Elephas maximus indicus: one gene and its partners. The protein of the gene in region 1 binds, or shares a complex with, the protein of each later gene. Links are inferred from orthologs where the notes say so. Each region holds a gene or a part of one and is shown in the gene's direction. Other genes may lie near its edges.

Region 1 (7,607 bases):
AGACACATCCCTGGGGCATGACTGGGAAGAGGCTGTCCTGATGGAAAAACTGTATCCTGAGCATTCCTAAACCTGAATTGTAACCTGTTACTTCCCTAATAAACCCCGTAATCGTGAGTATAGTCTGCAAGTTCTCTGTGGCCACTGCAATGAATTATTGAACCTAGCAGAGAAGTAGAGAGTGTCATGGGAGGGACAGTTGGTATCAGAACTGGTAAGGATGGTGGAGACAGGAGACATGTCTGACCTCTGCCTCATAAGAATCAGCCTTGGGCTGCTGATCTTGATTCTTTCTCCCTCGTAAAGTTAGAGGAAGTCAAGCATCACCACCACATTATTTTTACAGGCCACAAGCCATTTATTTGCATAATCCCACCGAATCCTTATGTGGGAGTCACAAAGACTGTGGCTAGAGGAGCCATATTAAGTAATATAAGGAAGCAAATGAAAAACTCAGCTAGTGTACAGGACTAACAGTCTACATGAACCACGGCCTCATCTACTCTGAGACCAGAAGAACTAGATGGTGCCCGGCTGCCATCTGGTCAGGGCCACAATAGATAAATCCTGATAGAATAAGAAAAATTTGGAACAGGACTCGAATTCTTAAAAAGTCCAGACTTCCTGGACCAATCAAGGGTAGAGGGCTCCCCAAGACTATCGCCCTGAGATACTCCTTAAACCTTAATCCAAAATTATCTCTTGAGGTCACCTTTTAGCTAAATAACAGATTGGCTCATAAAGAATATCACCTGTGAGTAACGAGCTCCTTTAAAAAATCATCTTTAGAAGACCAAATGGTCAAAAATTACTGTAAAGCAAAGATGAGACGGTAAGGGGGCAGGGAGACGAGAGTGCTGGAAATGGTACAACCAGAAAGGAAAGAATGAGAATGATGACACATTGTGAAAGACGTAACCAATATCACTAAGTAATGTCTAGGAATTGTTAAATGAGAACCTAATTTGCTGTGTAAACTTTCACCCTAAATGACACAATTTAAAAAAAACAAAACTAGAAAGTAACAAATCCTACCATAGCATGTTCCCACTGGATCTGTTATCTCAATATTTTCAGTCTATTCTTCACCCATATCATAACTTTCAACCATTCTTCCCACTTAGGGTCATAGAATATTAAGGCTAGAAGCAAGCCTTGGAGACCATTTAGTACAATTCCTTCACTTACAAGAAGAAATCTGAAATCCAGAGAGATTATGTGACTTGTTCAGGACCACACTGTGGATTAACTAGAATTGAGGTTTTCCGATTCCTAATTTGGTGCATTTTGCAAACTCTATTATTATTATTTTTTTATTATTGTTAACATAGTCTTCTGGTGGCAATCAAGGTTCAAATTCATCTCTAATCCACTCAAAAATATTTCATGAGGACTTACTAAGTATTGCAGCCCTGGAGGCATAGTGGTTAAGAGATTGGCTGTTAACCAAAAGGCTGGCGGTTCAAATCCACCAGCCACTCCTTGGAAACTCTACAGGGCAGTTCTACTCTGTCTTATAGGGTCGCTATGAGTTGGAATCGACTTGATGGCAATGGGTTTGGTATTCAGTTTACTATTAGGCAAAGAGAGCTCAATGACTAGCAGAGATCACAAACAAGTTAAAAAGTAAAAAGAAAGAAAATGATAGGTATTAACCCTAGATAAATGAAAAGATGTGTCCACAAAAACACTGACACAAGAAGGATCACAGAAACTTTATTCCTGAAAGTTAAAAACAACCCAAACGTCCATCAATAAGAGAATAAACAGCGGTATAATCATACAATGGACTACTACTCAGCAACAAAAAAGCAACAAAATAAATAAATCTCAAAACCATTACACTGAGTGAAGAAACCAGACATAAAATAGTCCGTACTGTACAATTCCATTTACATGAAACTCTAAAACACCCAAAATTAAACTATGATGATAGAAACTGGAACAGTGTTTGCCTCAAGGTGGCTTATTTACCAACAAAGTTAAAAATGACAACAAGGGAACTTTCTGGGGTGATGGAAATATTCTATACCTTAATTGAATTGTTGGTTACATATAAAAAGAAACGGTTAAAATGACTACATAAGAATAAATTTCTGTATAATAAAAAAGACCGAAAACCCAATAGAAAAGTAGGTTAAGAATATGAATATACAGTTTCCAGAAGGGGACATACAATTGGCTCCAAACATACCATAAGATGCTCAACTCATATGTAATAAGAAAAATACAACTGTTATGACAAGATACTAAAATTGAAAATTCCAAGAAGTAGGGTAACACACAAAACTGGTAAAAGTTGTAAGGGAAGACGCACACTCCTACACTGCTAGTGACAGCAAAAATTGATACAACCTCTATGGAGGGCAATTTGACAATAACTGCCAAAGTAAGAAATGCACATATAATTTGACAAAGCAATTTAGCTTTAGAAATTTATTCTGCACATACACTTGCACGTGTGCAAAACGATGGATATACAAGTATACTCCCTGCTGCACTGTCTGTAACAGCAAAAGAGAAGAAACATCCTAAACGTCCATCAACCGGAAACTGGTTAAACAAAGCAGGTGGTAGAACATCTTTGCGTGTACACATAAGAAAATGGTATCAATGCCTGATTTAGAGAGGAGGAGTAATGGATGGTGATCAGGGCTGAAGGACTTAATTTTTCACGGAATACCTGTTACACCTTTTGAATTTCGAATCACATATCGCCCATTAAAAATAAAATTTTAAAACGGTTTTTAAGTGAGAAAGAAATGCATAGAGATATGCAGGGTCCAGAAGTACAGAGACTTGCACGCTATGGTAAACAGACTTTATAGAGACAATGGGAAATCAATGAAGGATGTTAAGCAGGGAAATAAGAGTCAGATTTGTGCTCCTCAAACTACATACAGCTTAGGTATGACAGCTCAACGTTTATGTAGAACTCAAAAGTCTGCACTCTACTTTTACATTGAATATTATTTCACTGAATCCTCAGATGAAGAATCTGAAATGCAAAGTTATGTGATTTGCCTAAATGGCAAAACCAGCTCTTATTTACTAACATCACGATCCATGTAAAATACCAAGTTCCAACGCAGTGAAGTGGCCTATTTGGCTTGCCGAGTCCTCTCTCCTAACGACAATCTAACTATCCAGCTGTTGGATATACATAGGAGCGACACCCTTGGAAACGCTTAAAAATACGATTATTTTTAGAGTTAATATGCTAATAAAATTCACACAAGAAAAAGGTGATTAGCCGTACGTGAAAGAAGTTGAAGACTGTAAATGTGGGAGCTTAAGTCTATGAGTCGGAATCGACTCGACGGCAACGCGTACGTTTCTCAACTCTCAGACCAGGTGGCTCTTTCATTCAGCATCACCTGGACAAGTCCAAAAGCGTCTACAGCAGGGAGGAATGGGATCATCCCTGAAACACCTTATAGGGCGGGATGGTAGGCGAGACTGGATACAGTAAGGAGAGATGTCCCGTGCCCTTATCTGAAAAGAGAGCCATCTACTCACACTCGTACTTCTGATTGACTGGAGGATACTTGGCCTTGACTGCCTTCTGCTCCTCAGTCAAATTGTAGTCTCTTACATCTTGTCCCCCGTCTTGCGCCATGATTACAACGTTGGGCACCCTACTTCCGCCCTTCATCTGCTGGACTTCGGATCTGGTTACAACTTCCGCTCTGACTCTGCTCCCTGGCACACTCCTTTAAAGGGCCAAGACTCCAATTTCGGAGCTGGCGTACAAATATTAGCTCCGAAGCCTTCCGTCCTAGGCCCCTCCGCCTGGAGTGCACCTTTAAAGGGCCAAGACCCCATTTTCTGACCTTACTTCATCAATAGTTCTTAGCAACAAGCAAGTTGAAGGACCTGGGAGTAGGGACACCTGAGTTACGGCCTATGGCCCTGAATGGGAAACCTTGGTGGGGTGGTGTACTGGTTAAGAGCTATGGCTGCTAAGCAAAAGATCGGCAGTTTGAATCCGCCAGGTGCTCCTTGGAAACCATATGGGGCAGTTCTACTCTGTCCTTTACGGTCACTATGAGTATGACTCCACTCCACAGCAGTGGGTTTTTTTTGGCTTTGGCACTGAATGGGCCGTGATGGTTCAGTGGTTAAGAGCTCCCTGCTAACCAAAAGATAGGCAGTTTGAATCCACCAGTCGCTCCTTGGAGACCCTATGGGGCAGTTCCACTCTGTCTTATAGGGTCGCTATGAGTTGGAATCGACTCGAGGGCAACTTTTTTTTTTTAAGCCCTGAACGGTAGGGGCCTTTTCTCTCCATTGCCTCCAGAATTGATAACTAAACCCAACAACATTCTAGATTTCTTATCTGAGTACTGTGCTTTGAGAGGATCCTGAGATTAACAGCCTTTAAGAAAATGGCGGCCCCCAGGAGTATAAAGGCTCAACCCTTCTCACGTGACCTCGGGCGTGCGCACTCCCGCCAGGCCCCGCGCGCGCGCGCAAACGAAGGAAGTCGGCTCTGAGCCGTGTGGGGGAGGGGGCGGAGCGCGCGCCTCGGTCCGGCGAAAAGCAACTCTGCGCGTCTGGATAGGCTACGAGCGCGGCTCTCCCGCCTACTCCGCCGCTCGGTGCGCCCGGATTGGCCGATGTTGGCGCGAAGGTGCGCGAGTCGGGCCTCACGCAGGGGCAGCAGGAAACAATAGAGGCCGCGCGCGCGGAGCGAGCGCCCGCAGCCTCCCCGCCCCTCCCGCAACTCTCGACTCCCGGCTCCCTCCCGGCTCGCCTGCCCGCCATGGCCGACAAGGAAGGTGAGGGTGTCGGGGCCGTCCTAGAAGGGCCAAGGGGAGCTGCGGCTCTGCTGCGGCCTCGACACGGCCTAACAGTGAGGACAGGCCCGACTTTGCTGAGTGCGGTTACCAGCGTCGAAGGCCTGAGGAGAAATGTCCCCGCGGGGCGGGCTAACGGCGCGCCAGGACCTCCAGAGGGGGTGCCGGTCGCCGCAGGGTGTTTCATCCCTCCCCTAGCAGCCCGGCGGCCTCCCCGCGCTCCCTGTCCTCCTATGCCGCCTTTTGTCGGCCTCTCGGCAACGCTCCCTACCCCCAGGGGTTGGTGTTCGGGCCTCCTCGCCGGTCCTGTAGACTAGTGGCGGACGGGAGCGTGCCCCGAAGGCCCAGCGCACGGAACGGGTAACGGAGTGTCTGATGGCAGTGAACCGAGAGTAGTTCCTGCCCTACGAAGGCTGAGAGGGGAATTGGTGCCTCTGCCTAGGAAGGATTTGGACAAACTTAATCTCCATTTCAAAATGAGAACCCAGGAGCCGTGCTGTTAGTGGTACCGGGTGTGATCGGTTTCCGTTCGTTTGCTAAGTTCATTTATTTTTTCTTTTTTAGCAGCCTTTGATGATGCCGTGGAAGAACGTGTCATCAACGAGGAGTACAAAATATGGAAAAAGAACACCCCTTTTCTTTATGATTTGGTGATGACCCATGCTCTGGAGTGGCCCAGCCTAACTGCACAGTGGCTTCCAGATGTAACCAGGTGATGTAAATCTCTTAATACACTTAATTTCTGAATCTCTTTTTGTGTGTTCGCAGTGTAGGTTTTCCATAGATACCCCGCCCCTTATTTCCCACTATCCAACCACCTGCACTTGAGCAAAACCTATTGGCAACATTTTTTCTAGCCCAGAATGTGTGGCAAAATGTAAAAATATTTTGCGATTTATATGACAAGAGAAAATACCTGGGTAGTGTCTTTCTCTGATAATGAATTGAGTAGGCATATTAAACAACTGTAGTTGACCAAGTAACAACATAAAACTTGTCAGCTTTCAAAAGTATTTTGATGAGTACAGTTCTTTAAACAAAACATTTGAACTCTCACAGTCGTTGGTATTAGTTGGTTAATACAAAACGGAACGTGACACGGTACCTGCCTTCAGGAAGCAGGTGTTGTTGTTAGGTGCTGTCGAGTCCAGTTGGTTCCAACTCATAGCGACCCAGTGTACCATAGAAAGAAACGCTGCCCGGTCCTGCACCATCCATATTATTGGTGTTATGTTTGAGCCCATTGTTGCACATAGTATAGTCAAAGAGGCAGGCTGAAACTAATCCTTATATGTGATGAGAGCAGTTATTGAGAGCTACTTAGGATACTTAGGGCGGGGGGCGGGAACCGTTGCCATGGAGTGGATTCTGACTCATGGTAACCCCATGTGTTACAGAGTAGAACTGTTCCTTAGAGTTTTCTCAGTCATAACCTTTGTAGAAGCATATATCCAGGCTTTTTTTGTGCAGCACTGATGGTTGGGTTTGAACCACCAATCTTTAGTTTAGTAAACAAGAGCAAATTGTGACACCCAGGGACCTTTACCTTGAATAGAGAAAATTATATTATTACTTTAGGTTACATATATTGAGGGTCCCTTGTGACATAGTGCTGAAGAGCTCAGCTGCTAACCAAAAGTTTGGCAGTTCAAATCCACCAGCTGCTCCTTGGAAGCTCCTGTGGGGCAGTTCTACCCTGTCCTATAAGGTCGATATGAGTTGGAACTGACTCGACAGCACCTAACAACAAATATGTGCCAGGTATCGGTACAAATTTAGGTATAAATTTGTGTATAAAATAGAACAGTACAAAGTAATTATAATTTCCCTAAAAGTAGTAAAAAAAAAAAAAAAGTAGCACAGATAAAATCTTAAGAGGAAGAAAAAATTATCTCCCTTTGGGGCGTCAGGACAGGCTTCCGAGAGGAAGTGTCAATCCAAAGATGAAAGTGAATTTAGATAATAGATATCTAAAGTTTCGGCAAAATCGGTGTGCTTGTTGGAATAATGGATTTCCCCAATAAGCACTTCCAGAGGCACATTTAAAGAAGTTACAAGTGTCATCACTGTTTCACTATGACTTAGAAGTTCACGTTTCTTACTTTGTTATAAAACTGATTCAGTTTTCAGAATAACATTCAAAATTATATTGTATATTTAGTAACAAAACTACTTTAAAACCTCAGATCTTTAGAAATCAAGATACGTGCCAAGTGATTATTAGACTAGGAGTCAGCTCAGCTAGTGGAAATTCAACATGTAAATTTTATTAATAACTTAAGAATGAGACAGTTACCTTCACAAGGGCATTTAAAAAAAAAGTTACATAAAACTGTAATAAACATCTAGAAATTTAGAGTTGCGCTCTTCGTTATAGTGACCAAGAGTTCCCATATTCAGCTGATTGTCAAAATTACCTGGGGAGTTCAGGAGTAAGTGGAGTCCTTTCTGTAAGGAGTTCTCAGTGATAGTTAAAATCATGTAAGAATTTGTGACAGAAAGACATTTCAGAGCGCTTGAAAAATAGCTGAATAGTGATTCCAGATTGACTATCACATTCTAAATTAGGTATGTTTGGACCAGTGGGTCCCAAATGGTAGCCACCCCAGACCTACTAAATCATTCCGGAACCCATATTTTTAAAAAGCTTCCCAAATAATGTAGTGATTAGCCAGGGTTGGAATGCACTCAGTTAGGCAAATTCCCCAAGGCTGAAATCTCTGCACTATCAACTGAGTAGCTTTCTGCTTTGATAAACTTTCTGCAGTGTTTGACATTGGTCCAAATTCCCTGTCTTTTTTCTTTTTT
Region 2 (7,472 bases), on another chromosome or scaffold:
CTTCCTGGGTTTGAGCCTTGGGACCATGGCTCACATAGGAGGGTTGCACATGGGAAACTTTATTTTTGTGTGCAGTCAGACCCAAGGAACAGAGACATGGGTTGGCTCCTGAAGGACTAATGCCTCACCTGCCACCCTTCAAGTCCACACAACCTGCATTCTGTCTTGCCGTCAGAGTGCACTGTCACTGTGGCTTCTTTTCCCCTACGCTGTTTTTCCAAACTGCCTTTCCTGATGGAGCAGCAGAGTACCTTAGACCTGAGCAGAGTTTCTTGGTTTCACACAGACTAGAGGTGTAGGGAGAGGAAATAGAGAGCGTACGCTGAAAACTTAACGGACAACTCACTCTGAGTGTTATTCTAGGTTCTTCTGTACCACGGGGTGGAAACAGAACTCTAAGGTAACCGACTAGAGAGGCTGTCCCCCTGGGTGCATTAATCAGGAGATTATCCCACAGTGGTCTCTGTGGGCCAATCACACTAGTGGTTTATTTATAATTTATCTAGACAGGTAGCATGGGACCTGGGTAGGGAGGGAGGGGCATAAAGACCACAAGAGCAACACATAAGTACACATGTTGTAGCCCTTGTTGGAACTCAAGAAGAGAGGAAAGAATTTAAACTTTCTCCTAGTGGTATCAGAAAGATGTGAAAAGATAGGGAAGAAAGGGAATAAGTGGGTAGAAGCTGCAGGATTAGGGAAAGAGGGATTGTGGTGGGCAAAGGGCACCAGTATTTTTAATCACGGACAATAGGCTGTGCGTACTCAGTTGTAAAAGTTGCTTACTGATTTATATTACGAATCACTGTGGTAATGTGGTATATATGTATGAGAGGAAAAAAGCGTGGGGCAGATGGAGATATTACAGAAAGGAATTTGAGGCCCAGAGACAGGCTGAATCCCCTAGGGAAATGTGGATAAGGAGGGCATAATAGGTATTTGGCCACTCTGTGTACGAAGGAGAAAACTTGAAGGGAGGTGTGCTCACATTATGGCATCTTAAAAGAGCTGCCCCTCTCCCCTCTGGGAGCAATGCAAAGTTCATTCTCAGTACTTGGAATAAGCACAGGGGAGGGTTTGGACAAATGAATGGGGCTTAATCCTGAAGTAAAGAAAATGTAATGAGGAAAACTACAGACAGCCTAGCAGAGTGGGGAAAATGGCCATCACGCCACATGAGTGTGGCAAAAAGGTGGTCCAGAGAATTGGAGCAAATATTGGAAAAAGAATATATGAAATGCAAAGGTAGCCGTGAGAGTCCTTGGCAAGACCTGAGGTCTTTGATGTTGAAAACTTCAGTCCTAAAATGAGAAAAGAGTTAAACATAGAATGCTAGTGATTATACCATTAGGCAGCAGCTGGTGGAAAGACTTAGCATCACTGGTGCTCTGCCTGGGATTGTAAATTCCTGGAGAAACAAGCTCTCTCTGCACCTGAATTCATTTCTCCTTGCCACTTCTCCCAGTCCTTTAGTTCCCAGAGGAGGGGAGAACCATCTGGTCGGGCCCTTTCTCTAGGGAAATGACCTTAGGACAATGAAGATATGGAGTGAGGTAAGGAAGGGCCCCTCTTAGGAGGGAGTTCCTGTTTCTCTTCACCCTGCCCCACCTCCATATGTCTTGCCCTGTGTGAAAAAGGCAGATGGAAGCAGAAGTAGACATCATCTCTGGCTTGAGGAAGAGAGACAGTGAAGCAGTGATGCTGGAATATTGTTCTCACTCAGGTCCTGCTTCTCCGGGGGCCAGGAAGAGGGAAAAGTGACAGGCTTGTGGGCTCAGATTCTCTGAGGACCAAAGGGCTTTAAGATTGGGATCTCCTGGCTTTCTTAGGACTGGGTCCCCAGGGTGGCTGGAAGGTAGGCATGGTTAGGGAAAAAGGATAATATATATTGGGAGCCTGGTGGCACAGTGGTTAAGAGCTTGGCTGCTAACCAAAAGGTCAGCAGTTTGAATCCACCAGTTGCTCCTTGGAAACCCCATGGGACACTTCTACTCTGTCCTATAGGGTCGCTATGAGTTAGACTCCCGGCGGTGGCAATGTTTTTTTTTTTTACCTTGTGGCATAATTGAATTAGGAAGGCATCCTGTTAGTTAGTCCTGTCAGTAGGTATGTAGAAATTGTATGTGGGAAGGGGCAAATAGTGAACATCATGCAACTATGGTGTTTTTTTGGTGGAGAATGGGGCCTCAATAAGATGGAGATTTGGGCAATTGTGTTATGAGACTTCGAGATATAAAATGAGCAAGGAGTTAAAAAATGACATTGAGGGTAAGCAGGAATTTTAATGTTGAAGAATGAGGATAATGATTCTGGCCTGTTGATGAGCCTCTCAAGAAGGAAGCACATGATAAAATTATAGGATTTCATTATTAGGAATGCTGAGTGAATGAACATTGCCTTCCTATCAAAGTCCCTTAGTACGTAGGGGTTAGATAATCTTGACCATCCGTCTATACTGTAAACCCTTTTAGAATATCTAGGTATTTTAAAATACCTCTAGAAGGACCACCAAAAACCTCTACTAGGATATGATCTGTCCTGAAACCAGTTGGGCTTTGCTTTATTCTCTGTAACAGGAAATTAGGAAATAGCATTCAGTTGTTCTCCCTTGGCACCAGACATTTCTATTTTCTATCACAGTTTGTTTAGTTGCATATGCTTCTTTAAGGGAGGCACCATGGTCTTTGCATTCCCCATGTTGCCTAGCTCTGTGCCTTGCTAGGTACTCTGTCAACATCTGCTGAATGAATGTGAGTAGTAGTGAATAGTAAGTAGAGGGAGATCAGGTCCTGGCTCTTTGTGTATATATATACTGAAGGGCTCTCAGTTCACATCAGAATGGGATGCCCATCTATGGGAGTGGCCCAGGGGTGTTGAAGAATGGTCCCTGAGCTGGAGGCTAGGCGATGGGGGAGAGGACTGCTGGAATGGTGAGAAGTAGTCTTTGGATGGAAATTTGTGATTATTATGGGATGCTCTGGGGTGAATTAAACTTCATATAAATTGTTCATCTGGCCGGCATGGTATTTGGTTGGTCTTACTCAAAACTATGAGTTGGAATGTACTAGACTGCAATGGGTTCGGGTTACTCAAAACTTAATGGCAGGAGATGAACATCTGGAGAACTCCTGGATTTAGTGTGATTGGGTGGGGCCCTAGGTTAGCTCTCAACTCCTGAGTGTCTGGAAATTATGGGATGATGGAAGCTACGGTCTTACAGGTTAAGAGGCTTTATGCCAGGGTACTTGCTTTGGCCCAGAAAGGGTTGAAGCTGTGTATGAGTGGGGGCGGGGACAAGGCAGTGTGGGTGGCCCAGAAAGGGTTGAAGCTGTGTATGAGTGGGGGCGGGGACAAGGCAGTGTGGGTAGCCTGCCTGCCCTGCCTGCTCTGGGTGTTAATAGATTAGGCTTACAGCATTTGGAGATGGGGAGGTATATGAATATCATGGGATGCCTGGCTGGAACAGTACTATATAAGGGTGGTGGGGTGGAGATGAAGCGATATGGGATGTGACCCTGGGTTGTGCTGAGAGTATTATGATGTCCGGTTGACCATGGCTCCCTTGCAATTATTAAGGGATGTCAGGGTGTGGGTGGGGAAGTAAAATTATTATGGGATATATTTCCAGGGTTAAGGGAAAGGGTGATTAGGTGTCCATCTGTGGGGTAGCAGTAGGACTGCTGGTCTATTATAGGCTATCTTTTTGATAGGGAAGGGGTGGTCCTTATGGGCTGAGGAGCTAGAATGAAAATGTGAAGCCTGGGGGTGGTGTGTGCATCTAGACCCTAGCCTGCAGGGACCGAGGGCAGCTCCAGGGGGTTAGTTATTACAGGATGTCAGTATGGAAAGTGGGAGACTGATTATTACGGGGTGTGTGTGGGAGGAGGCCAAGTGTCCGTTGTTGCAGTGGGGGGATGAGTTTCTGACTATTATGGGATATCAAACTGGGGGTGGATGAAGAGTGGTTATTATGGGATGTCTGGGGGGATGGGATGAGTATTATGGGATGTGAGGCTGGTGTGCTGTGTGGGGTGCTTATTATGGGATGGCCATGGGAAGGGAGGGGTGATGAATTATTATGGGATGTGAGCATTAGGGCGAAGAGTGAAGAAGTTGGCAGAAGGATGGCTATTATGGGATGCTGCAAAGGGTTAGTGGCAAAGGTCTGCAATATTATGGGATGTCAGCAGTTCTGACATATACGTGTATGGAGTGTGTGTAGGGGTGTGTGTGTGTGTGGGGGGGTGTCCGTGTGTATTATGGGATGGCCAGGAGGTGGGCGGTTGCCCGGGTGACACGCGCGCGCGCTCGAAGGGGCGTGGCCAATGGTTGCCTGAGCGACGAGGGGGCGGGGGTTGCCCGGGAGACCTAGGGAGGAGGCTGGAGGTAGTGGAAGGGGGGGTTGGAGTTGGTTGAGGTTATTATGGGCTGTCCGCGGGGGGGCGGGGCCTGTGCGGTGGGATTTCCCGGCCGGTGTTTCGGGCCCTTTAAGAGGCGACGCTGGAGCCGGAGCCATTTTCCCCCCTTCGGCCGCGGCGAGGAGGAGCCGGAGCGGGAGTGACACCGGGCCAGCCTCTGCGCGACCTGCGAAGGCTCCGGGGTGAGGAGAGCGCGGGGTTCCCTGAGAGACGCCCCTCACAGCTCGACAAGCCCGGAGGGTCGTTCCTTCACCCACTCCTTCCTCAGGCGTCCCCAGACCCGCGAACTGCCCTCTGTCCGGAGGAGCCAATCCTTCTTCTCCCTTCCCTGCAGGGTGCCCAGCACCCTCCCTTCTCTACCCTAACCAGGCCTGAGTCTTGCTCCCCGCGCCCCCTACCCCGGGCTTAGTCTCCCACAATGCCCGGCGCCCGCCCCCTCGCCCTTTGCTCTCTTGCCCCCCGGGACACGTGGCCCTGCCCCCTTCCCGATGGGGGCTCCCTTGCACCTAGTCCCTGCCCCTGGACCCCCGGAGCGCCCGAACCTCCACGCCCCCTCGTTCTCGCGGCTCTTGAGGAGAACCTGAGTTGTCCCAGAGGACAGTCTTTGGAGAGCTGCCCTGTCTGGGGACTGGCCCCTCCCCGGGCGCAGGGAGGCGCCCCCCCACCCCCAAGTGACCTTGTGTCCCCGAGCGCCTCACCGCCCGCCTCCTCTCCTGCCCTTACCACCGCCCCCCCCCCCCGCGCCGCGGCCACTCGGACGCCCCCCACCGCCCACCCCGTCACACCCTGCTCAGTCCAGCCGGCTTCTGTCCTCCCCACGGCTGCACCAGCCTGCCCTCAGGGGTGTCGCTCCTTCTCATCTAGGGGCTCCTGTTGGGGAGCTGGCTTCCGGGCTGCCCCCGAAGAGTGTGGAACTAAGTTCAGCCCGAGTGGTTCGGGTGCCCTGCTAGGGTGGCTGGGTGGGGGGGGGGGGGGCCGGTGGTAGTGGTGGGCGGAAAGAGCGGGTGGGTGTGGGGGAGGGGGACTGCGCGTCACTGACTGTTCTCTTTCTCTCCCCCCTCCCCCGCACAGTGACTCGGGCCAGTGTAGAGGGCCCCAGGCCGCAGGCAGGAGCAGCTGGGCCAATTCCCTGGCCAAGAGCGGAAGGGGATGGCGTCGGGCCTGGGCTCCCCGTCCCCTTGCTCAGCGGGCAGTGAGGAGGAGGATATGGATGCACTTTTGAACAACAGCCTGCCCCCACCCCACCCAGGTAACATCTTCCCCCAGGACCCAGGGCAGGAAGGAGGCATTTGGGTCCTCCCTAGTGATTCTGGTAAGGCAGGGTTGAGTTTCTTGTCTCTCTCTGCAGTCTCAGGTGGAGGGCATCCGAAGGGAGTGGTTCTCTTTTGCAGAGCTCTTGTGTGAGGCGGGTGGAAGCCATGTGCCTCTGGGCACCTGGACTGAGATGCCTGCTTGCCGCACTGTTCTGGAGGAATGCTCCTCAGTTCCCAGATGAGGGAGCGCTCTTGACTGGCAGGCATTACCATATGTGGGTCCTTGGAGGAGTGCGGGTAGCTGGGACTCCTGGAGGCTATTGGGATGGGGTGTCGAGGGATTCTGTTTGAGGACCCCGGCTAGGCATCTGTGTTAGTAGAATACTGTAGTTGCTACTGCGGAAAGGAAGGAAAGAGCTTTTTACGCTATCTGATTATTTTTAGCTTCTGATCAGTTACCGGTTTTCTATGTTTCAACTGTGTGAAGTTTGAATTGCGCTCCTCAGCCGGGATCTAGAGTGCTTTTAGCCAGGCAGATTGCTGGAATGTTTTGAGTGGAGATATAGGGGCTAGAGGAGCATGTAATAGCCTCAAGGTTGTACTAGGAGAGGCTGAAGAAGGGAGGTGACATGCTGGGCACTCCTCCTCCCCTGGTGAGTGGACATAATCTTGGCTTTTTCCACAGAAGCTCTGAGGCAGAACTCTGTGCCTGTCGCCTGGGGTTTGAGATAGTGGTATGTAGTATTTGTGAAGGTGTTAAGGGTTGTGCTATCAGTGTTTTAAGGTGCTTCCTTGGACTGGCCAAACTCGTGTGGTTATAACCACCATGCCTGATTGGAGTAGCCCTTGTCTATCATCAAATGATGATTGATGTCATGCTCCTAAGCAGATGTCTCTCTCATCTGTCTTTTCTTGTTCAGAGCTCCTAGTTAAGTCACCTATTTGTTGTCTTGATCTTTTTTTTCTAGCTTTGTTTTTTCTACGTGCCATTTTTTAAATCTTTCCTGCTTATATTTTTCTCCTTATTCTGGAGCAAACTGGTCTTGCTTTTGTTTCCCATCAAATGTCTTTCACTTCTGCCTTCCCTCTTTTAGCTCCAGCCGGAAGTTGAGGTGGTCTGGGAGAGATGCTGCCACATTTGGCATTTTCTAAGTTGGAAGCCTTCTCTTTAACCTGAGGCCACTTAGGAGAGGAGTCAGTCTTGGTGTCCTCTTCTCATGTTACTGAGTCTTCAGCTGTTGGGATAGAAAACTTAGGCTTGAGTCTCATCACTGTGTAGGGTAGGGTGGCAGATTTCTGCGCTATTGCCCAAGGAGGGTTGTGAGTTGGTGATGGTGGTAGATGATCTTGTCCTTTCTGTGAGGGGCATGAGAGTTAGTGCTGTTGAGCTATTGTTGGTTCCACATTTTGGCCTCCCAGTGGCCCCTTGGTGTGGGGCTGACCCGTGTTGACTGGGAGATGTGCAGACTCCCTGGGTGAACTCTGCCCCAAGCTGTAGCATGACCCAGTTTTTCCACTTGCCACACCCAATTCCTGCCCCTTTCCCAAATCTGCCTCTATATCTTAGCCAGTTTGCTATTTGCCACGTCAGCTCATTATCTGCCTGAAAAGTTTGGGGGTCGTATGTACATGGAAAGGTGTCTCCTTTGCTTTTATGGATTTGCCCTGTCTTCACTTCCTGCGTTTACGCAGGTGGCAAAGGGAAAGAATGGAACTGTGGCTGACTGGAGGGGTGACATGGGGATTGCTGGGGAGAAGCCTTTAAGAAAGTGATTCTTCCTGGTAAGATCCAGGCCGGTGT
Region 3 (7,587 bases), on another chromosome or scaffold:
TACTCCCTCACCCTCACATCCAGTGAACTGCCAAGCCTAACTTTTTCACACCTCTTGAGGTTGATCAAATGTGCAATCAGGATGCACTGATAATTACTAGTGATTGGAATGCAAAAGCTGGAAACAAAGAAGAAAGATCAGTTGTTGGAAAATATGGTCTTGTGATAGAAATGATGTTGGAGATAGCATGATTGAATTTTGCAAGACCAACAACTTCTTCATCGCAAATACCTTTTTTCACCAGCATAAACAGTGACTATACAATGGACCTCGCCAGATGGAATACATGGGAATCAAATCAACTGTATCTGTGGAAAGAGATGATGGAAAAGCTCAATATCATCAGTGAGGACAAGGCCAGGGGCTGACTGCAGATCAGACCATCAACTACTCATATGCAAGTTCAAGTTGCAACTGAAGAAAATTACAACAAGTCCACAAAAGCCAAAGTACAAACTTGAGTATATCCCACCTGAATTTAGAGACCATCTCCAGAATGGATTTGATGCACTGAACACTAATGACCGAAGACCAGAGAAGTTGAGGAATGACATCAAGGACATCATACATGAAGAAGGCAAGAGGTCATTAAAAAGACAGGAGAGAAACAAAAGACCTAAATGGATGTCAGAAACTCTGAAACTTGCTCTTGGACATTGAATAGCTAATGCAAAATGAAAAAATGATGAAATAAAAGAGCTGAATAGAAGATTTAAAAGGGTGGCTCGAGAAGACAAAGTAAAGTATTATGATAACATGGGCAAAGACCTGGTGTCTTAGTCATCTAGTGCTGCCATAACAGAAATACCACAAGTGGATGGCTTTAACAAAGAGAAATTTGTTTTCTCACGGTAAAGTAGGCTAAAAGTCCAAATTCAAGGAATCAGCTCCAGGGAAAGGATTTCTTTGTCAGCTCTGGAAGAAGGTCCTTGTCCTCAATCCTCCCATGGTTGAGGAGCTTCTCAAGCACAGGGACCCCAGGTCCAAAGGTGGTGCTCTGCTCCTGGTGCTGCTTTCTTGGTGGTACGAGGTCCCCCACTCTCTGCTTGCTTCCCTTTCCTTTTATCTCTTGAGAGGGAAAAGGTGGTGCACGCCACACCCCAGGGAAACTCCCTTTACACTGATCAGGGAGGTGACCCCTGATCAATCCCACTCTAATTGCATTAACATAAAATTACAATCACAAAATGGAGGACAACCTCACAATACTGGGAATCATGGCCTAACCAAGTTGACACATATTTTTTGGGGGACACAACTTAATCCATGACACCTGGAGATAGAAAACCAAAAGGGAACACGTTCAGCATTTCTCAAGCTGAAAGAACTGAAGAAAAAGTTCAAGCCTTGAGTTGTAATACTGAAGGATTCTATAGGGAAAATATTAAATGACACAGGAAGCATCAAAAGAAGATGGAAGGAATACACAGAGTCACCATGTCAAAAAGAACTGGTCAACATTCAACCACTTCAGGAGGTACCACAGGAGCAGGAACCAATGGTACTGAAGAAAGAAGTCTAAGCTTAAGGCATTGGCGAAAAACAAGGCTCCAGGAATTGACAGAATACCACTTGAGATGCTTCAACAAACGGATGCAGCAATGGAAGTACTCACTTGGCTATGCCAAGAAATTTGGAAGACAGCTACCTGGTCCACTGACTGGAAGAGATTCATATTTATGTCTATTCCCAAGAAAGGTGAGCCAAACAAATGTGGAAATTATTAAACAGTATCATTAACATCATAACAAAACAAGTAAGTAAAATTTTGCTAAAGGTCATTCGAAAGCAGCTGCAGCAGTATATCGACAGGGAACTGCCAGAAATTCAAGCAGGATTCGAAAGAGGACGTGGAACCAGGGATATCATTGCTGATGTCAGATATCCGGATCCTGGCTGAAAGCAGAGAATACCAGAAGGATGTTAACCTATGTTTTATTAACTACGCTAAGGCATTAGACTGTGCAGATCATAGCAAATTATGGATAACATTGCAGAGAATGGGAGTTCCAGAACACTTAATTGTGCTCACGAGCAATCTGTACACAGATCAAGAGGTAGTCATTTGAACAGAACAAGGGCATACTGCATGGTTTAAAGTCAGGAAAGGTGTGTGTCAGCATTGTATCCTTTCACCATACCTATTCAATCCGTATGCTGAGCAAATAATCTGAGAAGCTGGACTACAGGAAGAAGAACAGGACATCAGGATTGGAGGAAGACTTATTAACAACCTGGAATAGGCAGATGACACAACCTTGTTTGCTGAAAGTGAAGAGGACTTGAAGTACTTACTGATGAAGATCAAAGACCACAGCCTTCAGTATGGATTACACCTCAACATAAAGAAAACAAAAATCCTCACAGCTGGACCAATAAGCAGTATCATGATAAATGGAGAAAAGATGGAGGTTGTCAAGGATTTCATTTTACTTGGATCCACAAGCAACACCCATGTAAGCAGCTGTCAAGAAATCAAAACAGGCATTGGGCAGATCTGCTGCAAAAGACCTCTTCATGTGTTGAAAAGGAAGAGGTCACCTTGAGGACTAAGGTGCACCTGACCCAAGCCATAGTGTTTTCAATTGCCTCATATGCATGAGAAAGCTGGACAATGAATAAAGAAGACTGAAGAACTGAGGACTTTGTGGTGTTAGAGAAAGAATACTGAATACACCATGGACTGCCAAAAGAACGAACAAATCTGTCTCGGAAGAAGAGCCAGAATGCTTCTTAGAAGCAAGGATGGCAGGACTACCTATCACATACTTTGCATATGTTATCAGGAGGGACTAGTCCCCAGAGAAGAACAACATGCTTGGCAGAGGGTCAGCGAAAAAGAGGAAGACCCTCAATGAGATTGATTGACACCGCGGCTGCAACAATGGGTTCAAGCATAGGAACAATTGCAAGGGTGGCGCAGCACCGGGCAGGATTTTGTTCTGTTGTGCATAGGGTAGCTATGAGTGGAAACCGACTCAAGGGCACTTAATGGCAACAATTTGAGAGGTGGAAGCTTCCTGTTCCTCCATCTCTGTTGATACTTCCTATTCAGTAGTAGCGGTAGCAGCAGCAGTAGCTAACGTTTGAGTCAAAACGAGTGCTACGTACTATTATAAAGGCTTTACATCTATGAAATCATTTAACCCTCACAACAACCCTGTTATTATCTGCATTTCACAGATGAGAAACTGAAGCATGGAGAACTAAATTAAGAAACTTGGTTCCAGATTACACAGCTAGCAGCCGGAATACCAACCCAGGCCTTCCAAACCTGTGCAGCCACTAGTACAGACATCTCTCTCCTCTCCTGTGCCTGCCCCAACAGGCTTCCTCCTGACTGGTTTCTAGGACTCTCATCTTGTCCCCTGCCAATCCATGTTCCATATTTTTGTTCTAAAACACAAATGGAACCATGCTACCAAAGACTTCTCTGCGTGCCTCCAGTGCTCTTGGCAAGTCCAACTCCTTAGCCTGGGCTGGCATTTGTGTACGATTCGGTCCTCATCTTGGTCTACCATTTTTTATTTCCTGGAATTCATCCATCCTGTATTTTCACTGTTTGTCTCCCTTCCTCCCCCACAACCTCCTTCCTCCAGAAGTTCCTGGAAAGGACTGGAGCTCGGTAACATTTAAGCGAATTGTTGAAAAGCAGCGGTGGTTTATCACTGGACAGTTTTACAGACAGGAATTGTGAAATCATTCTCTGGGCTTCTTTGAAAACGGTGAATCCTCATCCAGGAGTCTCTCCAAGTTTTGATCAGGGTACTCCATCACCTTGTAGTATCACTATTGGTTTCTGTCTGTATCCTCAGGAAACCTGTTATTCATGTTATTCGTGTTGTAACTCTCTCCCAGCTCGCTGTATGAGCCAGGGCAGAATGGATGAAGGCGCTGAGCAGAACGATTCGTAGGGGCCGGCCTAAACGATTAACTTCATGACCTCTCAAGGTCTCTCTCCTAGGCTCCGTGCAGCGCAGGTTCCAACAGTCGGGAGGAGGTCCCCGGCTCGAAGGGGGCCGCAGGGATCCCGAATTCTGGGCGGACACTGCGAGGCAGCTGCGGCCTGAGTGCACGAACCACTCCTCCGTAAAAAAGAGTGGATGAAGGCGCAGGAGAAATGTGGGTTTTGGGAACTCTGAAAAATACACTCCGAGTGGAGCCCCTCGGGCAACGTGACCGAGAACCAAGGGCTTCTCTGGCCACGCCAGGCCCACAGGTGCCTCCTCCCGGCCCCCGCCTCAGCCTGCCGGGGCCTCCCTCCCACCTTCCCTTGCTTTCCCCTCCTTGGAACACACAGCTTGCAGTTCCCGCGGCTGCAGCGCGAGACAAGAAACGCGCGCCGGGAGCGAGCCCCGGAGGGGGCGGGCGGCGCGGGCCAGGAGTGGGGCCCGGGCGGGACTCGGGAGCTCGCGCTGCTCCCCCCGCGCTCCGGCGCCGGGCCCGGGCAGGGGAGGTGCGCGACGGGCCTCTCCGCGCCATCTCCCTCCTCCCGCCCTCCGGCCCGGCCCGGGGCGCAGGCGGAGGGGCGAGGCGCGGCCCCACCTCCCGGGGCAGGCGCGGGCGGAGCCCGGCCCACCTCAGCCCGCCGCGGCGGGAGCAGCGCGGAGCGGCGCCGAGGGCAGCGAGCTCGCATTCGAACCTCCCTCGCAAAGACAGTCTCCGCCCCACAATGCACCGCGGCGGGCAGCCTTTGAAAAAGCGGCGCGGCTCGTTCAAGATGGCGGAGCTCGACCAGTTGCCTGACGAGAGTGAGTAGCACCTCAAAACACCCCCCCTTCTTCCTCCCGGCCGCCCGCCCCGAAGCTTTCCGGCCAGGAGGGGCCGCCGTGCCCTCCGCCGGAGGGGGGACTGACTGCCAGCCCCACCGTAGTCCTCCTAGTCCCTCCACTCCGGTGTTGCCGCCGTGTCGCCGCCTTTGTTATGGTGTCTGTGTGTAGGTTTCTGGGGTTGTGTGAGCGCCAGGGCCGGAAACCGAAAGCTCAGGAGTCCAGCCTATGCCGGGAGGAGGCGGCGGCTGCTCCCCTGGCCGGACTCGGGCCACCCGGCCGAGGTGGAGGAAGAGCGGCCCCGGTGCGCGGGGGCTGCCCTCGCCGCCTGCACCAGTCACCGGGCGCGGAGAGACGCCTGCCGGGGTTATGTAACTCGCCTGTCCCGGGGCCGGGGAGGGTTCGCGCTCGGGAGGGGGTGGTCACAACCCCGGCTTCTTGCCTCAGCCTCTGATCTTGTCCCGTCTTAGTTCCTGCCTCTATGGGCACTTGTGATCGTCCCTGTCCCTCCTCCCCACCGGTGTGTCCACCTCTAGAAGTGTTTCCGTGTCAAGAGGCTAGCCCCTTCCCCTGGGACCACAGGTGGCTGTGGACCCTTCCAGAGGTAATCCAGACTGGATACACAAGCATTCAGGTAGCCTCCATCCCACAGACTTTCCTCTGTGTGTGTGTGTGTGTGTCCTTAAGAGTCATGGGAGTACCTTGTACACAGGGATGTGACCAACACAGCATACATATAGTACTCTTCCTGACACCCGCCCCTGTGCAGGGCTCACTAACCATGACTACTCTGCCATCCATGGGATCTCTGCAACATACCAGCTCACATGTGTTTACTAAGTAAAAGCACCAACTCCATAGTTCAAAGCACAGTGGAACTTCATTTTGTAATTTTAAAAATCGCACAAGTTATGTAAAAAGGCAAGTATTTTAGCAAAGTACAAAAAAGGTCCTGAGTCCACACTCATTATTCAGTTTATGTGTATGTATCATTCGTCAGAGTTTTAGTATAATAAAAAGAAGGCTCAATCACTGTAAAATCATTTGTGAAAAAGGCAAATAGGCTTAAAATGAGAGCTATATACAGCCAATTCTGTTTTCTTTATGGGGTTGTATATCCTTAATGCGCTATAAAGTAAATAAAAAGCTCAAGTTGTAGTGAAAAGTTGTATTAAAAAGAGTTTGTGTTTTTAATTTGCTCTAGATCAGCGCTAAGTTCCAATAGAACTTTCTCAGTGATGGAAATGTTCTATTCTGTGATGTTCAATAGGGTAGCCACTAGTGACATGTGGTTATGGAGTACTTGAAATGTGGCTAGAGGGACTGAGGAGCTGAATTTTAAATTGTTTAATTAAGCTTAAATAGTCACATGTGGATAGTAGCTCTAGCCTGTTTGTGAGTTTTGTTTCTTGATTGGAGAATACAGTTCATTGTGACTTAGGATGCTACCAAGTAAGAATGGGCCTACTAAGCACAACCTAGTTCTTATCTGGAAAAAGTTTTTTTTTTTTTTTCTTTCCATCCTCATCATCTTTACTGTAAAGATGACTTACCCCTTTTAGAATTTTTCTTTTTTTGGTAGTCATTCTGTTGAATAAGAGGTATTGTAAGTGGCTTTCAGTATACCTCTCATTTGGAATATTTTGCTTCATCTACATCATCAAATATTTATTGAGGACTTCCTATTGTTCTTTGAAGGAACCTGGGAGTCATGTCGTTGTTAGGTGCCATCTAGTTGACTAGTTGATTTTGACTCATTGCGACCCCATGTGACAGAGTAGAACTGCCTCATAGAGTTTTCTAGGCTGCAATCTTTATGGGAACAGATTGCAGCTCCACTCTCAAGCTGTATGACCTGATCATTTTTATTAGTTTGTGACATCTCTGGTATATTGTGTGTATGTGTTGTATAACTTGTTGAAAGCAGGGATTGCCTTACCTGGTTTGTCACACTGCCCTGAATCAAGTATACAGAAGCACCTCATTTATATGAAGAGGCATTATTAATGAAACCGGGCAGGGTCTTGAGAAAGAAAAGAGATTTCGGTTTGATACTGGAAATAACAAGTTTCTTTGCCAAGTTTAGGCAAGGCGACTAATAAAAAATATATTAGCTTAAAAAAAAAAACCATTGCCCCTGAGTTCATTCCAATTCATAGGGACCCTACTGGACAGAGTAGAACTGCCTCCTAGGGTTTCCAAGGAGCGCCTGGTGCATTTGAACTGCCGACCTTTTGGTTAGCAGCCGTAGCTCATAACCACTACACCACCAGGTATTAGCTAATAACCAACATAAAATTACCAACAATAAATGCTGCCATTGAGTACTTGCTGGGTACCGACACTATGCAAAGCATTTTACATATATTTGTTTAACCTTATTTCACTTGAGGTAAGTACTTTTTTAAGAGTTTGATTTTCTGTATGAGGGAACTGAGGCTATCTTCAGCCCAGATCTTTCCTCTAAGCTCTTGCACTTAACATCTGTTACCTATTTCACATCTTCTCTTAGATGCCTCAAAGGCCCCTCAAACTTCACAGGTTCAAAATATAACTCATAACCCCACTCCAGGACAGAGATAATTTTAGTGGTTTCTCTCTTAATGAAAGCTCTTTTATTTATCTGGTAGAGGTCATCTTTGGCACTTCCCCCTTTCACTTCCCATATTTAAGCCTTTACTGTAACTTTTACCTTTTAAATGTCTCTCAAATCTACCTACTTTTCACCATCAGCCTAGCCCAAATTGTCACCATCTCATCTGATCACTTCAGCCTTCAATTAATCCAACTCTTCCAGGCACCGTGCACACCCCTCCCC
Region 4 (7,024 bases), on another chromosome or scaffold:
TCACATTACCCCATGAATGAGGGATCCTCATGTATATTAGTGTAATAGGAAGGATTTAGGCACACAGCATAGGGGATCCCTCATTCTTAGATGAAAAGAAATACTGTTTAGTATTAATCTTATCACTCAGTTCAGTTTAACAAAGTTATTGAACACCTACTCAATTGACATTGGTACTATAGAGATAAATGAACTCATAGTCTGTTAGGTTAAGAGAATGAATAAGAGAAGAACAGATTATACTGAAATGTGATAAATGCATCAGCAGAGATATATTCCAGGAACAGAGGTAGAAGATAATGATTAATGGAATCTTTAGGGAGTGGTAGAGGGAGGATTTAGGGAGGTTTTCCAGAGAGGGTAACATCTGAGTTGGGTCTTGATGAGTAAACAGAAATTTTACAGACAAAGAAGAGCATACTTGACAGAGGATAAATATGTGCAAAAGCACAGAGGCATGGAAAGCATGATGTGTACAAAAAATTCAAGTATATTACATGAATTGACCAAGATCACATAGAAAGTTTCAGCTGTCCTGATTCTTGATCAGGTGTTTATTCTGTTGCATTATATAGTTGTAAACTCTTGTATAAGTATTTGAAGTTACTTGTTACTTTATCCTTTATGTTTGTTGTCAAAAGCAGTTCCAGGTGTAGCACCTCAACCCATTACCAGTAAAAATCATCATTCTGGCTTCTAAATTACTATCATATTTCTCAAATAAGTTAATTTTTATAGGTACAACTAGCTAAGAGATGGTTAACTTAGGAAAATAATAGCAGAGTCACATTTGAACCTAGATCTCTAAACTGAGACCCAGTACCAACTTAAAACAAAAATTGCACATGAAAATGCACTTAAAAATAAGGTGCAGGTAAATAAGTGACATACTCATAATTACTCTAATACCTGTAAAGTATTATGCCTTAGATTAACTAGAACCTCCTCCTCTCCTAAGCATCTTGAGTTCAGATCTTTCTACTAGGCTATCTCATTTCCAATTTTATATTCTAGTAATACTAAACCACTTTAGCCTTAGTTTCCTCATCTGTAAGATGGGAATTCTATTAGTAACATAGATGAGATAATGTATGTTCAATACTTAACATAGTGCAACTTAGTGTGTAGCTGCTTATCAGATAATAGTTTTTATGAGGCTGGGTGATAGGTGTAGGACCAAATCATCAAGTTACCTTATTGTCATATTAAGGACTTTATCCTGTAGGCAATGGGAAGCCAATGAAAGCTATGTTTTGTTTTAATATGACAGCTTAATATTGAGCTATAGTTCACATACCATACAGTTCACCCATTTCAAGTGTACAACTCAATGGTTTTTAGTATATTCACAGTTGTGCAACAATCACAATTAATTTTAGAACATTTTCATCACCCCCAAAAGAAACCCATAACCATTAGCAATCACTCCTATTTCCTCCCAACCCTTCCCCTCAGTTCTAGGTAACCACTACTCTGTTTGCTTTTAAAAGCTGGGCAGAAAAAAACAGATTTATGTTTTAAAAGATCCTTCAGGTGGCCGTATGGAGGATGTATTGGACTGGACAAAACTAGAGGCTGGAAAATCAGTTAAAAGACTTCCTGTAGCTGAGTGAGAGATGAGAGCTTGCACTGGCAGTAGGGATGGAGAGGAGAGGCTAATGGAAAGAGAATAAATAAAAAGGTGAATCCTGTTCTTACAAAGAGGTTGAATTTTGGGATTTTAGCTCTTGCAGGTGGAGAGAGATCTAGTTCAGGAGGGAGGTTGGGGCTGGAAGTAAAGATCTGCTGAATCCTGTGCTTACAGGATATGATTGAAACCACAGGAGTGGGTGAGATTCCTTAGGACAGTGTGAAGTGAGAACAGAGCTAAAAACTGAATACTGAATACTGGGGAATGCCAACCTTGAAGGAGCAGGCAGAGCTGGGGGCTTGCAAAGTGGTTTGAGGGATGTATAGAATGGACATCATGGAGGTGATGTCACAGAAACTGAGATGAAGTTTCAATTAAAAGGCAGTAATCGAGTCAAATGCAGTAGAAAGGGCAGGTAAGATGAGGATTTATTTCTTCAAGTGTCCATTGGATTTAACAGGGTTTTTTTTTTTTTGCTTCTATTCAGTTATTAACATAAAATGTCTTTCAAAGGCTATGTACATCCTTATGACTTTTGCTTGATATTGCTTTCCAAAAGGATTATATCAGTTTTCAGTAACACCCCCACCGAGAAATTATTAAAATCTTTTTCGCATGGTTTAGAACAATTTAGTATTTACAAAGTGTTATTTCAAATCTATTTTAATTTTTTTTTTGCCAACTTGTGACCATGAATATTTAAGTGCTTGCTTATTTTTGCCCTTTTTCATTCATTCATTCTACAGATACAGTATTTTATTGAGCAAAATCTTGCTGTGTCACTATTCCAGGGGCTGTGTGGATCTAGCAGGGAATAAAACAGACAAAAAAAAAAAAAAAATCCCCGTATGAGAATGGTTGATACAACTCTATTAAAAGCACAATCTTTTAGGCACTTTTCAGACTAGTATAAGCAAACTTTTTGAGTATCTGGCCTTTGACTGGGGGAGGATGAGAAGAGGGACAGCTGTCTGAAAGATGACCATGGTGCATTTTTCTTGGGAAGCAATTTACTTAGAGATGTGGAGTATGAAAGTGAATTAGTAAAGCAGTTTTTAATGTTTTTATAATAAAAACATGAATATATTTATCATGGAATAGAATGCAAAATTTTACATGAGTTTTTAAAGATAGATTTCAAAGAAGTTTTCAACACTTGCTCCCAGACACTTCCTCCCCCTCCTGCTCCCCTTAGTATTCAATCCTCTCTACCTTGAGGGCAGGTACTTCACTGGACAAACTTGAGAAGCATTAACTATCCAAAACCAGCCTGGTTTATGATAGAGTATGTAAATTCAAATGACTTACCACTTTAGTTCCACACTTTGTCTTTAGTTTTATGACTAATTTATTTTGCCATGTTCTATCTTCCCGAGGAAAATTTTTTTCCTGCCTGTAAAATGAGAGGGATTTATTTTACTGTCAAAATTTCAAACGCCTGCCTTCAAGTTCTAAAAATTTATTTTGTGTAAAACTGACTATATCCTAAAATACGGCAGAAGCTCTGCTGTTAGAATATAAATGACGGAGTAGTGTATGACTAGGAATAAATAAGAAAACACTGACTCCAAATGACATTGCTTTCTAAATTAGGTGTTTTTGTTTTGTTTTTTAAAGTGGACCACCAACACAGGAATGATTTACAAGAAAAGCTTCTTTACCTTCCCAGAACCCCTACCTTGAGAAAAAGGAACTATAAGAAGGCAGGTGTTTTGACAGTAACTTGCATGCAAGCTCCTCTTAATTCACATTTGCACCTGCATCTCCGATTTGCAAAAGATGACGCGTGAAATGTCAAAATAGCAAAATGCCAGTTAATGTTACAATATTAATATGTGGTTCAGTGCTCTATGCAGTAGAGCATGTTGCCTTGCAAATTTGGATCCTTGGCCATTTCTGATCGTTAATATAGTTAATCTACTTGATTTGAGCAATTCGTAGCTACTGAACTTGGAACCTCTGCTAGAAGTTTCTCTAATGCAGCTCCTTTCCCTCTGTCTCTTGCGGAAGGACGGTCACTTGTTGACTACCGTACTCATCAGGCAAAGCTACTCTGAATCTGGGCGAGATTCCCAGCGCACTGCTGTCTCCCTGCATGTTCCTCCCGGTCTAGGGCTCCTCCACGATGCACACCGAATAACTCCTGTACAGCGGGGTTGGAGATTAAGCACTTTAAAGACCAGCCGCAGATGAATTACTTCCCTTTCCCGTTCTAAACACGTTTCCTGATGAAAACCTTTTTTCACCTGTCCCACTCCTGCCATGTTGGGGGGAAAAAATAGGTGAAATTCGGTTTCCTGCCACAATCTTCGCCACTCCCGTAACTATGATGTCTGGGCAAAGACAGCTTAAATGTTTGCTTAAAAAATAACGGCCGCGTAGGTTTATGGTCAGATTCATCTCAAGTCTGAAGACTTCACCTCCTATTGAGCTGGGATACACCCAAGGAGGGAAGAACGGAGACGGAGAAGCGGCTGCAAAGAGGTACACCGGCCCACCCGCGGGGCCGCCCGCCCGGGCAGTTGGCGGCGGCTGGGGCTGACGCGCCCCGGCTTCCGACTCAGCCCTCGGCGAGCGCAGGAACTCGCTTTCCCAGCGGGCCGCGCGCGGCCCTCGAGGGCCCGCCCCCTCGCGTTGCTGCGCTGGGCGCGCTCCGGTTCCTGTCACAGCGCGGCCCGCGCGCCCCTCGCGGCCCCACCCCCAGCTCCCGGCTCCTGCCCCGACTCCCGCGAGTTCCAGTCCCAGTTTCCAGCTCCCCTCCCCGCCCTCAGTCGCGCGCGCTCTCCCCGCCCCACCCTTCCCCCTCCCCCCGGCTGCGGCCGCCACAGCCAATGAGGTTCGGGGCCGCGTGCGCAGATTCAAACGGCGGCTCTTGAGGGAGGCTGGGCGCGAGATTCGGCGGTGCGGACAAAACCCTGCAGGAGGCTGCGAGCCCTGCAGAGCTGCTCGCTGCGGGGCGGGGCGGGGCGGGGGTCGTCGCCCTCTGCGGAGCCGCGCTGGGACTACAGCGAGGAGGCTGAAGGGCGGCGGAGGGACAGGCAGAGGGCGAGAGCGCGCCTCCTGATATGTCGGGGCATCCCTGACCGGGCAGGGCTGGGCTAGGAGCGGGGCTGCGGGTCCGGGCGGGTCGCGGTCCGCCCTTCTGTCCCTCCGTCCTGCCCTGCGGGGACGTGCGTTCCGCGCTCGGCAGCTCCGGGGAGGGTGCGAGGGAAGTTAGCGGGAAGGTCGGGGAGAAGGAGCATTCGCCTGAGGCTGGAGGAGGCTGAACTGCGTCTCCGCCCAGCCCGCGCCTATGCGGTACTTGAAGGATGGCGAAGAGGTCGCGCAGGTGGGTGACATCCCCTTTGCCCAGGCCTGGCGGCGCCATCTGGCTTAGATTCCCTCTCCCGTCCCCCCGTCCCTCCCCGGGCTCTCCCCAGCCGGGGTAGAGTTTGCCTGCCCGTTGCCCCACAGCCGCTGCGGCCCCTCTGTGGGGAGGCCCCCGCGGCGTGTGGAGAGTTGGGGACCACTGTGATTAAAACACAGAAATGGAGTAACAGCTGCCCAGGTTGCTCCTTTGAGCTGATCCTCCCCGCAGCGCGCGTCCAGCCCCCTAACTGCTCAGAGCCATTTCTCGGTGGGAAAGGGTTTCTGGCCAGGTAAGTCTGCGCGCTTTCAGGGGACAGCTACGCAGATACAAACGGCAGTGTCCTGCCTGGAGGACTGGAACACGGGGCTCAGAGGGACTCTCTTTTCTGAATCACTGTACCCGTTAACTAGGAACTTCTTGATAAACCTGGGCGGGGACCCCACTCTCAACTTGGCTACCTTGAAAGGTATGGAAAATTCTCCGAGGAATAGCTGAAGAGAAAGTACCTTTCTCCTGTTTTCTGTAATCATTCGTACCCATGCTCTCAGCTTATGTATATTTTAAAATATTTTCTACTGGGAGGATGTCACATCGTTACTATCAGTAGCTTGTGCTTAAAATAAAACAATGTATTTCACTCACGTAATATTTTGAGTGTCCGTGTTTGGTTCTGACTGTACCTATGTGTTGCACAGAGATAGGGCACATTTTTTTTGTTGTTGGAAAATGCTAGGATAAATTTATACATCTAATTTTTATCTGTGTATGACTATAGTAAACAAAAACAAAAGCCAATTACTATAGCAGCTACTTCTAAATTGTGTGGAGTAACCACTTAAATGATGGAAACAGAAGAACCCTGGGTGTTTTTTAATTTGCAGTATCATGTAAACCTGAAAAGATGTTTGGCATAATTTCACAATGTTTTTATTTATCTAGATCCACAGCCTTCTTAACTAGAGATGTGTTTCTTCAGCCGAAATTTATCACTTGGATTCATTTACTGAAGATTCTTAAAAACTCAAAATTGGAAGTAACTACACATATTGTGCTTTATTCATTTGTTAAGCACCAAGTATGCACAAGGAGCCCTGGTGGTGCATGGTTAAGAGCTCGTTTGCTAACCAAAAGGCTGGCAGTTCAAATCCATGAGCTGCTCCTTGGAAGCCCAACTCTGTGTTACTCCAACCTACAGGGTCTGGATATGAGTCGGAATCGACTTGATGGCAGTGGGTTTGGTTTAGGTTCTAGTATGCACAAAATATTTTGCAGAAATCAACATAAACTGTAAACTAAGTCCTTGTTTATTATTTTGTAGCAACTACAGTATAGGGCAGACCCTTGAGCTGGAACAAATGTATACACACACATACACATGAAAAACCCACTTATCCAGAGCAGGATTTTCAGCCTTACTGCTATTGACATTTTGGATGAAATGACTCTTTGTCCTCGGGGGCTGTTCTCCGCATTGTAAGATTCTTAACAGCATCCCTGGCCTCTACTCAGTAAATAAATGCCAGTAACAAAAAATGTCTCCAAGACATTGCCAAATGACCCTTGAGGAACAAAATCACCTCTGGTTTAGAATCCACTGTTCTAGAACTTCAAGGACCCAGTTAACCTCTTGATCTTCAGAAAAGAGATTTTAAAAGGTCCTGTAATGATGATTACTGAAGTACTGGTTTAGGCCTTTTCATTTGAACTTTTAAATACAAACAATTCGTAAATAAAGTAACTTCATTAAGCAGGGTGACAAGTGAAAATTTATGTCAACTCAAAAGTTTTTATCTTCAGTGTGTGGCATTATCTACCTATTAGTATTGTTGTTGATTTTTCTTGGCTAATGCTGTTCCCAGCACTTAAAGTTATGGTTAGACACGGATGTTTGAATGTCAGAACCCTCTCCTCCCTAACCGGTTCTCTGTCCATTTTATAATCACATATGTTGTTTTCTGTTACTGACAATTCTGTGAGCTTTGAAACCTAAACATATATTGCACTGTTGATTTTAATTCTTTGTCAGCTACATATATTAAAACATA

What was found.
Region 2: RBBP4 (region 1) and CHD4 share a complex: the UniProt entries of both Homo sapiens proteins name them as parts of the nucleosome remodeling and deacetylase (NuRD) repressor complex. The link is inferred for Elephas maximus indicus from reciprocal best matches to the Homo sapiens genes RBBP4 and CHD4.
Region 3: the proteins of RBBP4 (region 1) and LIN9 are in contact, whole or in part, in a crystal structure (PDB 7N40), measured with the Homo sapiens proteins. The link is inferred for Elephas maximus indicus from reciprocal best matches to the Homo sapiens genes RBBP4 and LIN9. Residues at the interface, in NP_005601.1 of Homo sapiens: Ala11, Glu14, Arg15, Val16, Ile17, Asn18, Glu19, Glu20, Tyr21, Lys22, Ile23, Trp24, Lys25, Lys26, Asn27, Pro29, Phe30, Leu31, Tyr32, Asp33, Thr37, Ala39, Leu40, Glu41, Trp42, Pro43, Glu75, Pro87, Asn88, Asp89; in NP_001353174.1 of Homo sapiens: Phe107, Arg108, Asn111, Leu112, Lys114, Leu115, Lys117, Ala118, Lys120, Trp121, Ile123, Tyr124, Glu125, Trp126, Phe127, Tyr128, Leu135, Phe136, Asp139, Asn140, Asp141, Phe142, Cys143, Leu146, Arg156, Lys157, Leu158, Thr159, Arg160, Val161.
Region 4: RBBP4 (region 1) and MYBL1 share a complex: the UniProt entries of both Homo sapiens proteins name them as parts of the DREAM complex. The link is inferred for Elephas maximus indicus from reciprocal best matches to the Homo sapiens genes RBBP4 and MYBL1.

What each region holds. Positions count from the first base shown.
Region 1 is NC_064821.1:73,476,936-73,484,542, forward strand, and holds the start of RBBP4 (histone-binding protein RBBP4), read left to right. Parts: upstream 1-4,601; 5' UTR 4,602-4,765; coding exon 4,766-4,781; intron 4,782-5,363; coding exon 5,364-5,511; intron 5,512-7,607. Other genes in the region: ZBTB8OS (protein archease), read right to left, coding at 3,520-3,655. UniProt on the Homo sapiens protein: Core histone-binding subunit that may target chromatin assembly factors, chromatin remodeling factors and histone deacetylases to their histone substrates in a manner that is regulated by nucleosomal DNA.
Region 2 is NC_064822.1:63,380,735-63,388,206, reverse strand, and holds the start of CHD4 (chromodomain-helicase-DNA-binding protein 4), read left to right. Parts: upstream 1-4,457; 5' UTR 4,458-4,600; intron 4,601-5,489; 5' UTR 5,490-5,567; coding exon 5,568-5,667; intron 5,668-7,472. UniProt on the Homo sapiens protein: ATP-dependent chromatin-remodeling factor that binds and distorts nucleosomal DNA. Acts as a component of the histone deacetylase NuRD complex which participates in the remodeling of chromatin.
Region 3 is NC_064842.1:15,977,157-15,984,743, reverse strand, and holds the start of LIN9 (protein lin-9 homolog), read left to right. Parts: upstream 1-4,579; 5' UTR 4,580-4,672; coding exon 4,673-4,751; intron 4,752-7,587. UniProt on the Homo sapiens protein: Acts as a tumor suppressor. Inhibits DNA synthesis. Its ability to inhibit oncogenic transformation is mediated through its association with RB1. Plays a role in the expression of genes required for the G1/S transition.
Region 4 is NC_064833.1:75,974,392-75,981,415, forward strand, and holds the start of MYBL1 (myb-related protein A), read left to right. Parts: upstream 1-4,013; 5' UTR 4,014-4,016; coding exon 4,017-4,114; intron 4,115-4,628; exon of another isoform or gene 4,629-4,938; coding exon of another isoform or gene 4,939-4,958; intron 4,959-7,024. UniProt on the Homo sapiens protein: Transcription factor that specifically recognizes the sequence 5'-YAAC[GT]G-3'.